2 linked regions of the Canis lupus familiaris genome follow. The protein of the gene in region 2 interacts with the protein of the main gene of each other region in a biochemical or structural test. Links are inferred from orthologs where the notes say so. Each region holds a gene or a part of one and is shown on either strand. Other genes may lie near its edges.

Region 1 (5,332 bases), on a different chromosome or scaffold from region 2:
AATAAAACTTTTAAAGTGCAAAGGCACTTTAAAGACTTTGAGATCTGAAAATATAAAACTCCTAGGAGAAAACATAGTAATTTCTCTGACATTGACCTTGGCAACATCTTTCTAGATATGTATTCTCAGGCAAGGGGAACAAAAGCAAAAATAAATTATTAGGACCACACTAAAATAAAAAGCTTTTGCACAGCAAAGAAAACCATCAACAAAATGAAAAGGCAACCTACTGAATTGGAGAAGATACTTGCAAATTATATATCTGATAAACGGTTAGCATCCAAAATATATAAAGAACATATATAACTCAATGCCAAATAAAACAAACAATCCAATTAAAAAATAAGCAGAGGACCCGGATAGACATTTTTCTAAAGATGACATATAGATGGCCAACAGACACTTGAAAAGATGCTCAATATCACTAATAATCAGGGAAATGCAATGCAAGACTACAATGAGATATCACCTAACACCTGTCAGAATGACTAGAATCAAAAAGACAAGAAATAAGAAATGTTGATGAGGACATGGAGGAAAAGGAACCCTCTTGCTCTGTGAGTGGGAATATAAATTGGTGCAGCCACCATAAAAAAACAGTATGAAGTTTCCTTAAAAAATTAAAAATAGGGGTGCCTGGGTGGCTCAGTAGGTTAAGTGTCTGCTTATGGCTTGGGTCAAGGTCCAGGGATCCTGGGATTGAGCCCCATGTCGGGGCTCCTCGCTCAATGGAGAGCATGCTTCTCCCTCTCCCCCTGGAGCTTCCCCTGCTTGTGCCCTCTCTCTCTTTTAAAATCTTTTAAAAATTAAAAATAGAAATACCATATGATCCAGCAATCTACTATTGGGTATTTGCCCAAAGAGAACAAAAACGTAATGTGAAAAGATATATGCATCCATATGTTTATTGCAGCATTATTTACAATAGCCAAGATATGGAAGCAACTCCAACATCCATCAATAGATGGATGGATAAAGAAGATATATATATATATATATATATATATATATATATATATATATATACATTTATATATATGTATATATAACTTTCATCCTGTAGGTTCAAGATGAGGTTGTCAGCAGTGAGATAGATACGGTTCTGCGATGTAGCGATCGTCTTAGAGATGTTCTGGGATACCCGGATCTTGTGCAGTTTGATATAGCCAGGGTTATACATATATATATATATATATATATATATATATATATATATATAACACACACACACATATATATGCACAACACATACACATATATATACACACACACATATATATATCCACACACACACACACACACATATATATCTACACACACATATATATATCCATATACACACACATATATATGTCCACACACATATATATATATCCATACACACACACACATATATATCCACATACACACATATCTATATCTATATCTATCTATCTATCTATACACACACACACACATATGGTATGTATAATGGGATATTACATAGCCATACAAAAGAATGAGATCTTGCCATTTATGACAACATGGATGGACTTAGAGGGTATTATGCTAAGGAAAATAAACCAGACAGGGAAAGACAAATACAATATCATTTCACTTATATGTGGAATCTAAAAAAATGAGATAAATAAACAAACAAAAAGCAGAAACAGACTCCTAAATACAGAGAAAAAACTATAGTTGCCAGCGCAGAGGAGGGTGGGGGGATGAGTAAAATGGGTGAAGGGGCATGGGAGATACAGGCCTCCAGGTATGGAATGAGCAAGTCATGGGATTGAGAGGCATAGCACAGGGAATAGAGTCAATGATAACTGTAGTAGTGTTGTATGGTGACAGATGGTAGCTACACTTGTGAGCACAGCATAATATATAGACTTGTCAAATTTCTGTGTTGTATACCTGAACTATAACCTGTAATACTCTGTGTCAACTACAACTATACTTTTTTCCAAAAAAAAAAAAAAAAAAAGTGCAAAGGTGGTAAGTTAGGTGAGCCTTCCAGATATAAAATCCTGACATGTCAAACAGCAAGGGACCAGAGAGGTGAAGACGTCTAGCCCTTCCTTCACTTTGTAGTTGAGAGAAAGGAGGCCCTGAGTAGATGGGCAGGGCTGAGGCAGCCCCCCGCATTTTGGAAAGGCAGAGCTGGCCCCGTATCCCAAGTCTCCTGACTCTCAGAGCCTACTTGCATCACATTATTTGTATCTGGGATGATCATCAAGATAATCTCCCAAGTTTCTTCCAGGTCTCAGATTTTGTTCAAGAACTAGGCAGTGGAGGTATAGATGGTGCCCGTATGGCAAAGCAAAGGTAAAGCGTAATTCTATGGATGTTTTAGAACAAAAAACTACATTTGTCATGGATGTCAGCCAATAAAGAGACCATCAATCAACTGTTACTTGAAAGGACCAGGACCAAATGTCTACATCATTGCACTAGTTTGTGAAACAGAATGGCTCAATTTTACTTTCAGGAAAAAAAAATTATATTCAGTGGGCTTTTTCCTTTACCCTGATCATATCAAATGACTGGACATTTCTCCTCTGCCAAAGTAACAGCTACCAACTATCATAGGCACAGAATTTTAGAGTGAAATTCATTTAAACAAACTACTGTAAGATTCGTATTTTTTGAAATCACACACTGTCAGGATTTGTCTCCAACATGAGTGCATCAATTAGTTATAAAAAATATTAAAAGCCATCTAGAACATCGCTGTTACTCTTGATGCATTCAGCCACACAGACAGTATAATTAACTCTAGTCACCATGCCATATATTAGATCCCCAGGACCTACTCATCTTATAACTCGAAGTTTGTATACTTTGACCAGCGTCCTCCATTTCCCCCAGCCTGAGCCCCTGGCAACCCCATTCTACTTTCTGCTTGGGTGAGTTGGGCTTTTTTAGATTCCATATGTAAACATGATCATATAGTATTTCTTCGACGTGAGCAGCCCCTCCCCTCTGAAGTCTAGAGGTCTTCATATTGTGGTCTACCGCTGGTCACCCAGTAAGTCCTTTTGCTGCGGTCCAGTTGAGTTCCTTGATTCTCCTACTCTGCATAGTTTCTTTCAAATGACCCCATCTACCTTTGTTTCACTGTACCTTGCTTTTCTGATCACCCAGGAAGCCGAGCTTGGTCGCCCAAGGTCTAATCATACCCTGCCCCGCACCCCTGGGGCAAAGAGTGGTGTTGATCTTTTCTATGCACTATAAGCTTCTACCTTTGCTTCTCAGTTCTTTGGTGATTGCTGAGGGGGGCGAGGGGGACTGGGCTCCGCCTGACAGCACGTATCTCGAATGGTCTCAGGGTAAAACACAGCTCACTCACCGTCCTGGTGCCTTCTGTTACACGGTACAACACAAACTGGTTGCCACTTTGGTTTCTACTGTTATATTTCTTTAGCGCAGTGTCCACAGCCTTAAATAGATCCTCATCATTGCAGTCGATTTCTTCTGAGAGGGACTCCTGGGTTAAACTTGGTAGCAGCCTGGAGCAAAGAAAAAGCATAGCAAGTAGTTTCATGGTTTAGCGGTCTCCTTCCAGGAGCTGAGGAAGGGTTTCACCAAGAATCTGGTGCCAACTTGAATGCTGATTTTAGCAATTTCCAGCCCTTTATCTCCTCTGTACTCTTATCTCTCTGCCTCAGTGCTCCGGATCCTGGTGGGTTCCTGCTGCCATACACTATTTGCCCTATTTCCAAAGGCTCTGTTGGGTTATCCAAGCAGATTTCAGGTGGAGACATTACAACACCAGGGTTGTTGACCTGCTTGTTTGCATTCAAGAAGCACGTGGGAGCACAGGGCACATTTCCAGGTGATTGCACAATGCTGTATAACAAATCAGAACAGAAACTAATAAAGGAGGAGGAAAAACCAGCAATCACCTGTTATTCCCTTTCCCAAGTGACTTTCCCAAAGCCCTTTATGAAGGTCACTACATGGGACAACAATGAGTACAACGTACAGATACCTTTCAATCATTTCTTTGCAAGATATCTAGCTGCAGAAAAAACGGGCTGCTACCAATTGCATGGCATGCCTGCGGAGCCCACGCACAGGGACATAGTGCATGGTAGGAGTCCCACACCAGGACACTGGTGCAACTAAAGTTAAAATATGGGCATCCTATATGGTCTCTGGTCAAGTCAGCCTCTCTCCACTCAATTGTATTGATTTTAGAAAAGAAAATGCTCCCCAGGGAGAAGGAGACAGGAGAGAAGCATAAGAAGAGATGATTTGAGTGAAGCCCAGTGTCCCCCATCCTTGCTTCTTGTTTCTGATGTGATGGATTTGGATGTCTACTCACCAAGCCTAAGGAGCCTTTCTGATAAACCCCAAGTTCTGATTCTAGCTCCTCCTGTACTGCACACTGCTACACATTTCCTTCTCTCCCAGCTTTAGCTTCTGTCTCTTTGGGGGCCCCTCTTTTTCTCCAGCCTAACAATTTACCCATATCTTTCTTGGCCTTTGCTTTCTCCCCCTATCTACTGCCCCCATCCCCTGGCCCGGATACACACACACACACACACACACACACACACACAAACACACACTTCTACTTTCTGCCATCACTATGTACCTGCAACTGCTTCGGTAAGTCAGGTAGTGAGCCCAAAGTCTTATTAGCCCTTGTCTAAATGCTTGAGCCCTGATTTGGGAAAAAGGGAAAAGAAAGAGCATTTAATGGTGGAAAAAGACATTTGGCACAAAAACTGAATAAAGAGAAGTTACCCCTTAGCCTGGAGGGAAGATCTGAGAAGAGCAGAGGTCTCTGGGAGGCCTCAAGCAGAGAACACCTCTACCCTGCTTTCTGGCCACGTAGCCGGGAAGGCAGCAAGATCTCACGGAGAGAATAGCCAGGGCAGACATGTTCATTAGTGGCCTTGCAGAGGCTCTGATAGCTTCACTGTGACTCAGGAGTAGCTGATAAACTAGACCCAAAGAAGGATGTGCATGGGGTTGTAAGCATCTCCCAGCAGGAGAGAGCTAGTGGACCAGTGATGAAGAGTCAGACCTCCCCTTCATGCCCACCACCCAAACACTTGGCACGACATGAAATTCTAGAATGGTGGCACAACTTTTCACGGGGAGTAGCAGGTGAGGGAGCTCCAAGGACTGAGGTTAAGTCTCCTATTAACCTACTAGGATGGCAACCTGAAATGGAAACTAATTTTTTTTTTCTGAAAATAGAGTGATATTTCTTGTGCACCTGAAATTATCATCACGATTCATACCTGCGGTATTCCTTGCAATTCATAGCCCAAGCCTTTATTGCCTCATAATTGAATTTGGAACTTATTTTTTTTTTCAAAAGGAAATTTAGAGA
Region 2 (4,767 bases):
GAGTAGCACGATGACTGTGGCTTTGGGCATGTTAGGAATATATGAAGACTAGTAGGGCCAGATGCTAATTCCCAGGTCTAACTTGAGTGGAAGGAAGCTCTGGGAAGCTGGTAGTGTGGTGGTGGGAAGTGTGGCCTCCGTGGCACAATGCTCCACAGTTGGTGAATACCCTCTGTGTCCAGGAATGATTACGTGACCTTGGTCAAGTTGCTTTTACCTCTTTGTACCTCGAATTTCTGCATCTGTAAAATGAGCATGATAGTCACCTGTTGGTGTGTCATAAAAATTGCTAATTAGTAAGTTAAAGCACGTAAAATAGTGCTTCAAACAGTGGAGACACTGTTATTACTATTGAAAGTATCAGAAAGGGAGACAGAACGTAAAGACTGCTAACTCTGGGAAACGAACTAGGGGTGGTAGAAGGGGAGGAGGGCGGGGGGTGGGAGTGAATGGGTGACGGGCACTGGGTGTTATTCTGTATGTTAGTAAATTGAACACCAATAAAAAAATAAATTAAAAAAAAAAAAAGAAAGTAACATACACAGAGTAAAATACTTCTAAATGCTTTTGACAGAAATACATGTTCTGAGTTTAAGATTTAATTGAGAAAATTTGGCACCAAAAATGTCATGTGAAAATGAGTCTGATAATGAGAAATTTTCTTGAATCATTGGCCTTAGCAATCAAATAGAAAGCAAAAGGGTCATTTTTTCATGGTAGTACGCTAGAGAAAGAGAATATGGAAAAAGGAAGTTGTGTATTTTTACAGTCAATACCTATAACTTTGTTTAATCAAACTCTAATCTAAAAATTACCTTTCAGAATTCCAAAAACCAATATGCCTCCCTTCCAAAGATGATACAAATACAACTTATACTAATTGCTGGGTAACTGGATGGGGCTTCACAAAAGAAAGAGGTACAGCATGATATATTTTTTTAAGATTTTATTTATTTATTCATGAGAGACACACAGAGAGAGAGAGAGGCAGAGACACAGGCAGAGGGAGAAGCGGGCTGCATGCCGAGAGCCCCATGTGGGAATTCGATCCCAGGAATCCAGGATCATTCCCCGAGCCTAAGGCAGATGCTCAACTGCTGAGCCACCCAGGCGCCCCCAGCATGATATTTTAAATGTTGTTCTTAAAACAAGTCTTTTACCTTAAGGTACACAGAGTGAATCAGTTTAACTGGCCTCTGTCTGAAATTTTATCCAAACTCATCACCATTCCAATCTATTCATTCTCAAATATTTACTCACTGATTCTTGAGAAGATGTATTTTTCTTTGGATCTGGAAAAATTTATGAGGTAACCTCTTAAGAATCTTACTTAATAATAAAGTTCACTTGTTTGACTATGGGATAAAGGATTTGTCCCATATGGGGCTAATAAGACCACTCAAGCCTATCCTGTCCTCACTACTAATAGTGTTTCCATCTCTCAGTGCCATTATTTTGCCTTTATACTAAGGGTCAGGAGTAGAGGCAGGCACACCATCTTTTTCTGGAAGGCTCTAAATGTTTTTTGTGTTGTTATTGTTGTTTCATGCATCCTTCCTGTAATCTGATGAAGCCTATGAGCCACTTTTGTAATGGTGCTTTTATTTTTTTATTTTTTAAAAGATTTTATTTATTTATTCATAAGAGACACATAGAGAGAGGCAGATACATAGGCAGAGGGAGAAGCAGGCTCCCCACGGGGAACCCCATGTGGGACTCGATCTCAGGACTTCAGGATCATGACCTGAGCCAAAGGCAGACCCTCAACCATTGAGCCACCCAGGCACCCCTGCCGTGGTGCTTTTAAATACTTAAAAAGCACATATAGACATATGAAGGAAACAAGTGAAATTGCAATAGAGTTATCAAAATACTTTCAAAAAGATGCAATACGGGAATGCATGAGTTTCTTTAATATATTAAATAGTAAGTTTTTCAAGTAACTACCATAATATCAGCCACAGCTGTCACATGAAACTATCACAAGTGTGATGAAAAATATCTGTGCTCTTGACTAATGGCAAAGCCATCCTACTAACACTCCCATTTTTATTGCCTGCACTCATAGCTGAAGGTAGTGTTAGACTTCAGTTGGAGATTGGTGAAAATAAGGATGTATTTTCCTATCCAAGTGTATAGAGCAAGTGAATTCTTTCTGTGGACGCCAGTTTAAGAAGCCCTGCTCACGGGTAGTTGGTGTTTTTAAATTGTCCTTGGATTTCCCATGAAACAGACTTTTCTCGCTTTCCAAAGTTTTGTTCTTGATAGACACTATAGGAATAAAATTTGCACATTCTTTACATATTTAAGCTCATCAAGATCTTTCCTTCTTTCCTGACTTAGTCCTTTATTCAGTGAATTCAAATTTTCTAAATGTTTGACTGGTACCTTAAGGCAGAAAGAAATTTTAAGAGTAACCTTAACTAAGAAAGGAGAGCTCCCAACATATGTTCCAGGGGAACCTGGACACGGGCAGAAATGTAATTATTTGTGAATAAATCGTTCTTCGTGGAAAATATTTGCATAGTTAAAAAACAAAATACTCTTCTGAGCATATGGTGAGTTCCCCCCCCAACATCACATGTTTTTAAATGATCATGTTGAATATATAAAACAAAAACTGAAAGATAAGAATTTCCAGCTTTGGGGTTGGAGGTGATAAGAGGGAATTTCTGAGAGATTTCTATTGGGATGAGAGGTTGGCAGGGAATCTGGTCAGCCTTGGGGTGCTGGGGTTGTCCTAACATTGACATCAGAGGCCAGTACATGGAGCTCTCTGTTTATCAATTTCTTTTTGCTTTTCTCTCTGTGTGTCTCTCTGTTGGTGTGATTAACTCTACTTTTTCACCCTTTACTATTTTTACCTAAAGAAATTACCTAAATGAAAGGTTCATAACACTGATTTGCTTTAAGACATTAGTAGTTTCAGACTCATCGTATTTCCTCCTTCTGAAGTTTTATATTGATTACCTCACAGGGGAAATCCAAAATAGCCTACAAAAGGCAAATATTCCTTTGGTACCAAATGAAGAATGCCAGAAAAAATATAGAGATTATGAAGTAAACAAACAGATGATCTGTGCTGGCTATAAAGAAGGAGGGAAAGATGCCTGCAAGGTAATACACTCAGTGATGAAAAAAAAACACACAGTAGTCTACTTGAGAAAAATCAACTACAAAATATATTCTCCATAGTACATTTCATTGTATTTTTCTTTAAAAAATTGGAGCCAAATAATCTGACAATTTCAAAAGTAACCTTTGATGAACTGAATATATATGTGTGTGTGTGTGTGTGTAAATGTTTATTCTATTATAATCTGTGCAGAGGCATACTATATATAAGGGAGCACCATGGTACATAAAATAGCTGTACTAAAATATTAGAGCATTAGATTTACTTGACATTGAGATTCTGATATCAACATGTCCTTTTTGGAATAAATAGAAAATGCAACCATACGTATTGAATTCACTTATTTTCGTCACATCCAGAGGAATGAGGAAGGCAAGATACCCAAAGAACTATAAGGAACTGTATGTACGTGTTGTGTGTGGTGTGACTACAGAATTTTAAAGGCACAACTGTCATACTTTGTATTATTTCATTTTTCCACTCACTGTGACACAGGGAGATTCAGGTGGTCCCTTAGTTTGTAAACACAACGGAAACTGGCATTTGGTGGGCATCACCAGTTGGGGTGAAGGCTGTGGCCGCAGAGAACAACCAGGTGTCTACACCAAAGTGGCTGAGTATGTGGACTGGATTTTAGAGAAAACACAGGTTGGTGATGGGCACGCCGGTCTTGGATGAAGTCACCAGTGCGAAGAAGCTTTCTAGAGATGGGAAAGAGCCCGGGTTGTAGCATGAATTTTACAACCTGGGTCCAGCTCAAATGCTAAGCCTTGGAGTCTTCGTCTGCAAAATTGTGGAGAATAGTATCTGCTTCATGTCCTTGTCATAAGGGTAAAAGGAGACAGTGCACACAAAGCTGCTGAGGAAAATGTTGTGCAGAGGCAGGCTGTCAGCCTCCAGTAAAAATGCTAATAATGGAAGATAACAAGTGAACATTTCCGCAATTATTTGTTGCAAAATAAAATGGCAAAAGAATGTGACTCAAAAGTGTGTTCTTCTGATTGTGAGACAGAATGAAAGGTAAGTAACTCCAGATTCTAGCACCGTGCTTGTGCTGGCCTCGCTCTTCTCTGACTGCCTCCTCTGGATCTCGATATATATCTTAGGGACAGTAATCTCTTCTCTTTTCGTCGCCTGCATGGTCATCAAAACCTACCACTGCCTGCCTCACTTGGGGCAAAGAGCCAGTAAGCTTGGGTCTTGTTCTGCCAACTGTAGAATATTAACTTTTCCAAGAAAGAGATGTGTTTTCTGAACCTTGGAGAATAGTGGTGCACCTTTTGATGTTGGCCTCCTACCTTGTTAGCTGGCGTTGGCACAAGGCCCCTGGCTGGGTGTGCAGGAGAGGTCTGCGGGGCTGCAGCTCCTGCCATAGGCACACCACACAGCCTTCACGGAGGGCAAGGAGTCTGCTCTGTGGGGTGCAGGAGGGGGTGCCAGTGCATACTGGGTTCTGCAGTAGTAATTCAAGAAGCATTGGTTCTAAAGTATTGCAAAAATTCAGTCTTGTAAATTTGTGGTCGTAGAAAAATGATCCAAATCCGTGTAGAACTCAAACTCCAAACTTGTTAGTGATTACTATAACTGATATCAGCTGTTTGGATTGAGTTCGGTTAAACTGACTTGACATT

What was found. The genes of interacting proteins can lie anywhere in the genome.
Region 1: the proteins of KLKB1 (region 2) and KNG1 form a complex in vitro, tested with the Homo sapiens proteins (4 studies listed by BioGRID). The link is inferred for Canis lupus familiaris from reciprocal best matches to the Homo sapiens genes KLKB1 and KNG1.

The regions. Positions count from the first base shown.
Region 1 is NC_049255.1:19,458,628-19,463,959, reverse strand, and holds the start of KNG1 (kininogen-1), read right to left. Parts: upstream 3,758-5,332; 5' UTR 3,530-3,757; coding exon 3,335-3,529; intron 1-3,334. UniProt on the Homo sapiens protein: Kininogens are inhibitors of thiol proteases.
Region 2 is NC_049237.1:45,418,067-45,422,833, reverse strand, and holds the end of KLKB1 (plasma kallikrein), read left to right. Parts: intron 1-822; coding exon 823-918; intron 919-2,977; coding exon 2,978-3,117; intron 3,118-3,631; coding exon 3,632-3,814; 3' UTR 3,815-3,874; downstream 3,875-4,767. UniProt on the Homo sapiens protein: Participates in the surface-dependent activation of blood coagulation. Activates, in a reciprocal reaction, coagulation factor XII/F12 after binding to negatively charged surfaces.